2 linked regions of the Nothobranchius furzeri genome follow. The protein of the gene in region 2 purifies or fractionates together with the protein of the main gene of each other region. This does not show direct contact. Links are inferred from orthologs where the notes say so. Each region holds a gene or a part of one and is shown on either strand. Other genes may lie near its edges.

Evidence for each region.
Region 1: the proteins of chd8 (region 2) and kpna5 purify together in Homo sapiens (affinity purification with mass spectrometry; 3 studies listed by BioGRID and IntAct, with this or other methods). This does not show direct contact. The link is inferred for Nothobranchius furzeri from reciprocal best matches to the Homo sapiens genes CHD8 and KPNA5.

What each region holds. Positions count from the first base shown.
Region 1 is NC_091745.1:58,613,584-58,616,914, reverse strand, and holds part of kpna5 (importin subunit alpha-6), read right to left. Parts: intron 2,640-3,331; coding exon 2,551-2,639; intron 2,484-2,550; coding exon 2,384-2,483; intron 2,299-2,383; coding exon 2,135-2,298; intron 1,533-2,134; coding exon 1,454-1,532; intron 1-1,453. UniProt on the Homo sapiens protein: Functions in nuclear protein import as an adapter protein for nuclear receptor KPNB1. Binds specifically and directly to substrates containing either a simple or bipartite NLS motif.
Region 2 is NC_091751.1:63,449,180-63,452,997, reverse strand, and holds part of chd8 (chromodomain-helicase-DNA-binding protein 8), read right to left. Parts: intron 3,713-3,818; coding exon 3,553-3,712; intron 2,715-3,552; coding exon 2,504-2,714; intron 2,389-2,503; coding exon 2,193-2,388; intron 2,115-2,192; coding exon 1,944-2,114; intron 1,864-1,943; coding exon 1,573-1,863; intron 1,483-1,572; coding exon 1,262-1,482; intron 1,183-1,261; coding exon 980-1,182; intron 889-979; coding exon 732-888; intron 658-731; coding exon 568-657; intron 502-567; coding exon 398-501; intron 259-397; coding exon 135-258; intron 1-134. UniProt on the Homo sapiens protein: ATP-dependent chromatin-remodeling factor, it slides nucleosomes along DNA; nucleosome sliding requires ATP. Acts as a transcription repressor by remodeling chromatin structure and recruiting histone H1 to target genes.

The sequences.
Region 1 (3,331 bases), on a different chromosome or scaffold from region 2:
ACACGCCCATTGTGTTTCCATGCCACCGTCCCGGTCATTCGCGTTCCCTCGGTGGTGGGGAGCTCCACAGCGTCTCCCTGGATGTCCTATACCTTTTATGCCTGCTTCCTCAAGCCACTGACTGCCTCCTGCATGGTGCTGTGGGTCCTAGTTCTGTTTCCCAGTGCACCATCAGCCCGTGAAGGGGAGTTTGAAACAGAATCTTCTCTTCTTCAGTATTTTCTGGACATGTGTATAAGCATTTTGCTCCTTTAGTGTCTTTGCCATTTATCCATTTTCATCTGCTTATCTGGGGTTGAGTCGCCGGGGAAGCAGTCTAAGGAGAGAGGCCAGACTTCCTCTCCCTAGGCGTTCCTTGGCCAGCCGAGAGCATGTCCTGGGTCTTCCTTTAGGTCTTCTCTCGGGACGTGCCCAGAAAACCTCACCAGGGTCCAGGAGGCATCCTAACCACATGCCCGAGCCACCTCAACTGGCTCCTCTCGATGTGGAGGACCAGTGGGTCTACTCCGGATAACTGAGTTTCTCACCCCATCTCTGAGGGAGAGCCAACCACCCTGCAGAAAAAAATAATTCCGGCCGCTTGTATCCACAATCTCATCTACATCTCACTGCCCAAAGCTCGCGACTATAGGTGAGGGTAGGAACTTAGATCGAAATGTAAATTCTGTCGGTTCCAAACATCACCGTTTTCTTCTCCCAAGCTTTTTTTATGGTGTATTGTTGGAAGTTAATGACTGATTCAACAAAGCAGCTGACCTGTCTTCAGTGCTAGAGTGCTGAATCAGCAGATCCTAGTTTATCTTAAACTCCTCACAGAGCCACTCCTCCATCAACTTTGCCACCTTGTTGTCCTGTGATTCAGCGTCTTCCTTCCTTTACACCTGGATCTGGCCTCCAGGTCACCCAGCTTCAACAAATCCTTAGGTTCCTTCAGTAAATCCTGCAGCACACAGTCAGCATCAGAGCTCCTCTACTCACATTAGAGCCGTGTCCACCTTCTCCTTCTGCTCTCCCATCTCTGCACCTATTTTCTATTTGTCCTCCTTTAGCTAAGCCAATCCACGTCTCTCGATCTGGATGTAATGTCTTCCTTTACTGATCTTAGCTCAGCTTGAATCAGACATTTGTAGGTTACCCAGCATAGTTTTCCTGAGTTGACACGAGGGAGCTCAGACCAAGGCTGCGTGTCGCTCCACAGCGCCTGCCCAAGTCCATTTTCATCAGTGCTGTGTATGACCTACAAAAGTTCTAGAACTCAACAATGACTCCCACATCAACTTTTAATAAAATTTCAAACATTAACGCGTGCCTGAACACACGTTGGTTTTCGTTTTCACAGCAGAGAGAGACAGCGATTTCCTAGCTAATCTGGGTTTAACGTCAGATTGTGACACCCACACCAATAAGAAGAGAATCTCTTTACAAACAGAACGTTGTGAGAAGCAGCCTTTACCTGAGTCTGGATGTCATCTCCCGTTACGATGTTGCCTACAGCTCGTAAAGCCGGAGAAACCACTTTGTAGTCGCCATGCCTACAGGAAGCAGAGGGATGAACGCTACAGTCAGGCTGGCTGTTGTAGAACAACCCCATCAGCACCACTCTGTGGTTCTGGCATGCAGCTACAGCAGCACTGTATCCCAGGTTTCAATAATCCTGGTGTTCCAGCTTGAACCAGTTACTCACAAAAGCCAGCACATATCTATTTATTAGCTCATATGAAACTTATAGTTATAGAAATGCTATCAGTCAGCTGGCTCAATCCCAATCCTGCTCAAGATGGATTTCTGTGAAAGATTTACTGACTCATTGTTTTTATAGATATAGTGATAAAGTCTCCAACAGGTGTGTGGATCAGTACAAGACGTCCAGAGAGATGCTGCTTCAGAGGGCAGAAATGTTGGTTTTACTGAAGTGTTTATACTTTTGTATTCTGGGTCCTTTTCTCCTCGTCTTATGTGTAACACCTGTCCCAGTGAAGCTCCAGACCCCTTAGCCTGCTGCAGCCACACCCACATCACAACCACCCAGTGGTCTCTGTTATGCCCCCTTTCATCTGGACCCTCACACAGTTTCTATCAGCTGATTGCATATCTTAATGACCTTGACCCGAACGATAAAACAGGAGCGTCTCACATCAGCAGCTCTACCAGCCTGCGGCAGACTCCAGAGTCAATCACCGCCTGGATCTTTTCATTGGGCCCATCAGAGAGATAAGAGAGGGCCCAGCACGCATCAGCCAGCACATCTGGATCACTGCTGAACAGCAGTCTGGACAGAACGCTGAGACAAGGACACACCTGACACAATAACAACACAAACACACAATTTAGAATTGCAGCTGGATGGAGAAACACAAAGGTCATGTCACCGGAACAGGCTCACCTTGGCAAAATCTGGTGGAGGGTTCTTCCCTCTGCACAGGTTAGAGAGAGCCCACACCGCATTACGGGTGGTTGTGAGTCGGTTCGATTTAACAAGAAGCCTGGAAGAAAAAAAAACTTCCCATTTCTGAAGACCAGAGAAACTCGAGAAGAGGAGAGGAGACTTACTGCTGTAGAGACGGGAGGATGCCACAGCTGAGCACGTAGTCTCTGCACTCAGCATTATCCCCTGCTATGTTCCCTAAAGCCCACACAGCCTGGCGCGTGCACACACACACACACACACACACACACACACACACACACACACACACACACACACACACACACACACACACACACACACACACACACACACGTTTAGTAACAATTAAAACTAAATGCTCTAAAATAAAGAAGCTGCTGATCCGAACATCTCCTGCAGCGTTGGTGTGAGTGTTTGTGTGAAGGAGTTTGGTTTGGTTCTATTCTTCACCAAACTAGTTCAACAACTAAACCACAACGAGATCTTTGATTTCACCACTGAACGTTCTGGCTCTCTTATGGTCGGAGCAAAGAACCACATCAGGAGCTGGAGGCGGCTCAGGGAGACCATCAAAGACATGGAGAACATCTGGTTATAGACTTTAGAAACGAGTTTACCAGAACAGCATTTTTTTAACAGACTAGTGATGTTGGGACATTTGTTTGCAAGATTAACGAGACAAACCCTGCGATGGTGGTTGATAACTGTCTCCCAGCACTGTGATCCTCTACAGGATTCCCTCAACAGGGATGATCAACCACTGTTTAAAGAATACATTGTGACTCTTTGTAACATTTTAATAGTTTTAAAGTTGATACAAAACATGTTCATGAAGATCTTTGCACAAATCGTTGCACATCTCTGTTGTGCAACATCATCAAGATTGGAAACATCCTACAGTGCAAACTCGTCAGTTTTTGTTGT
Region 2 (3,818 bases):
AAGTACAATGAAGGTTACAGAATGATGCTGCTATGAAAATGTGAGGGGTCCCGTTTGAATATCAGCAGTTAGAACCACTTTCTAATCACAAAAGTAGAATTTATGAAAGGCAGAACAAAGCAGCGGTAACTTACTCATCCCCGAGCTCCGCGTCACCGGTTTGCTGCTCAGCATCAATGGCTTTGTCGTCAGGCCGACCGACTCTTTCTATGAAGCAGAGGCAGGGATCGGCTCGCATGGTGGTGTACATCTCATAACCTGGTAACCAATTGCAAAATCAGATCAGTTAAACGCCAACGTCTTTAAAACAAATATCAAGTCCCAGCATCAGGAAACGGTCCAGTCCAACAGGAACCAAAAAAAGTCAGCCTTCATTTTTTTTAATAAGTAACTCTACCATGTTTGAAAACACCAGCAAGAAGTGAGCGGTCTGCATCAGCGTCCCACCACACAGCAGGCACCTCCTGCTGCTCCATCTCTGGCATCCAGATGTCCACGTCCCTAAAGACAAACGGCGTCTCAGTAACCGAATCTGAACCTTTAAATAAAACAAGAAGCATCAAATACCTGATCTCAGCTCCTTTCAAGACAGCATCTGCATGTTCACCAATAACCTCCTGTTTGAGGTAGTAGAGCATCCGGACCCTCAGCAACACTCTGACAACGGAGGAAACATCTCAGCTTAAATCAAAGTCGTTGACATGAACCAGCGTCTGACTGGCCTCACTCACTTGTTGCACTGGTGCTTCAAGTGTTTTCTGTAGCTGTCATCAAGCAGCAGAGTGTCAGGGTTGTACTTGCGGATCCACTCAACCTTCTGCACATCAAACGTACTCTGAGCCTTCACCCTCTTTCCCTTCCTGCCTCTTGGAACGGGGATGGAAAGGCCTGAATAAAAAAAAAAAAACACAAAAACATGTCAACAGTTCATTTAGTCTTCTGATTTAACTACTGAAAAGAGAAAATGACAGCCTCATACCAGAGTGGTTTAGTAGTGTTTGAGGCTCTCGGCCATTCTCTGGAGGAGTGATGAGCTCCCAGATGAAACTCTTGATGTTCTCATCACCACGATAGTGCAGCAGACAAAAGACCAGGATGACACGGCAGATGGTTTCCACGTCACGCTCACTCAGACGCCTCTTACATCTGGCATGAGACAAGATGTCCCTCCAGCGACCCCACCTACAGCAGATCAAACCCGCAAGGCAACGTCAACAAGACCGCTTAACATCGAAATAAAAGGGAAACACCATGTTCGCACCCATAGACCAGCAGGTGTTTCTCCACCCGGAAACAGTCGGTGCGTCCGTATCCTCCTCCGCTGTGGCGATCAGAGCGGCGAGAAGCACGCGAATGTCTAGAATTAGCAGGTGGATATTCGTCATCACTCTCTAGATCTGACAGGTCTCCACCTTCGCCACGTAAAGTGGAGAACTGACGGGTCTGCTTGCGAATCCTGGGGGTGTCGATCACCAGTGTGTTCTGCAGGGGGAGGGAACAAACTGATTTAGGAGGATATCCATCTGTGTGAGCCATAAATCTCTCCATTAAAATCAAACACCAAAGCGTCACCTTCTGATTGATAGAATCCATGTCTATATCTGCTTTCTTGGCCCACTTCTCCCAGAATTCAGGATCATCGAGGGCGATGTCATTGCGGTTCTCAGAGGCCACAAAGCTGGCTTTGGAGAAAGTAGAGCCCTTTCCTTCACTCTCAATAGTGATGGTGGTGGCTCGTCGCTGAAGGATCTGGTCAATATCTTCCTCACAGAACCGGCTGCCTTCGTCATTCTCATCCATGATGGCGGCATAGGCTCCTTTCCTCAACAGATCTTCAATCTCCTTCTTGGAAAACTGTTGGAGCTGTTAAACATGACATTAAATTGTTTAGACAAGAGATCCAATGAGACGTGACGTGAGCAACCAGCCTAGCGAGTCGTTACCCCGTTGACGCTGCTGTCTTTGTTGCCGCTCATGCTTTGAAGGACAGCCCGGTCCAATCCGAGCTTCAGACTCGCTTTGTCCAGCATCTCCCTCTCGTAGGAGTTCCGGGTGATGAGACGGTAGACTTTGACCGCTTTTGACTGTCCAATACGATGACACCTCGCTTGGGCCTGAAAAAAAAAAGAAGGGAAAAAGGTGTGGAGGCAGAACAGAAAGCTTTAAAACCCGTCGTTAGTACATCACAATACCTGCAGATCATTCTGAGGGTTCCAGTCAGAGTCAAATATGACACAAGTGTCAGCAGCAGTCAGGTTGATGCCCAGACCACCAGCACGAGTACACAGGAGGAAGACAAAACGATCAGAGTCTGGCTTGCTGAAGCGATCGATGGCTGCCTGTCGCAGGTTCCCACGCACTCTACCATCAATTCGTTCATAAAGGTACCTGGAGAAATACAAAACCCATGAAGGTTTCTTCAAAGTTTCCCCAAACTTTCAATAATGTCAAAGTTACTTTGCACCATCAAGAGATAAAATACGATGTGTGTAGATGTTTATACCTCTTGTTGATGAGGTAGTCCTCGAGGATGTCCAAGCAGCGCACCATCTGGGAGAAGATGAGCACTTTGTGGCCTCCAGCCTTCAGACGGGGCAGCAGCTTATCGAGAAGCACCAGTTTCCCAGCTGACCGAATCAGGGCTTGCAAATGAAAGTCAGGGGCCAGGGGGTCATACACCTGCCGCAGCTCCGCCACGATCTTCTCCTCTGCGCCTGAACAAGGAAAAAGGAAACAGTAATTAATTGGGTAGCTGATTTTTTAAAAGATGTTAGGCCGTACTAGTGCTGCCACGATTAGTTGTTACGTCATGATGACGTCAACAAACAAAACAGTCGGTAATAAATTGAAGTCAACGTCATTTATTCTATGAAGCGTTTTATAAATTTTGCCCGCTGCAGCACCACTGCTGCTTTCTGCCTTTTTGTTCGAGGCACATGTGGCCGCCCGGCTGAGCCGTCGCGTCACTGGAAAAAACAAGACTTGGCAAGCCGGCAACGTAGCTCAAAAGTTTGGAGCACTTTACAAAGACAAAAGAGAAGCACGTACATTTAAATCTTGTCACGGGAGCATGTTCATGCACGAATACCTTCAAAGGAAGCTCGTCATGGCGGAGAACAAAGACGGACAGTCGCCTCTGTAAGCTAATTACTTCTCATTAGCTGCTAACATCAACAGGGAGCTACTTGTGTTCATAGCTGTAGCAACAACAGTAATGATGGCAATTTCGTGACCTTTAGCACACGTATGTCACCTATTTGCTCTTACGTTACAAACGCCAACGATTGATTGTATCTCGCTACCTTACAGCATTAAAAAAGCGCTCGACGAGTTTGTTACCTAGCCAACATGCACACGTCGACAAGCAAAGGTTCTGACCGGGCGATTTTAAACATGTTGGTGACGGACATGAGAGCCCTGTTGTTTTATAAGCTTGATAAGCTTGCACATAACGGATCACACTTGAAACTAGAAACTAATGATGGCTGAATTAGAGCAGCTGCATCCTGGTGCAATAAGAAAACAATCGTTTGTGGCGCCCCTCAGCCTTACCGTTGATGAGGTAGGGGTGGTTGCAGCACTTGCGGAGCTCCATCATGGTGTTGAGCAGGTTGGGGACGTTACTGTTACTGTTGGCTCCTAAACTCAGGAAACTAAAGTTCCTCTCCAGAATGGCCCGATAGTACTTCTTCTGGATGTCAGTCAGCTCAACCTGACAGGAAACAAGCAGCATTTTATTCACAAGTTCCTCTGAAACAGAGAACGATATTTTCATCTGGAAAAGTCGTTGGTTTGTGGTCGCCATCATTAATTTGTGC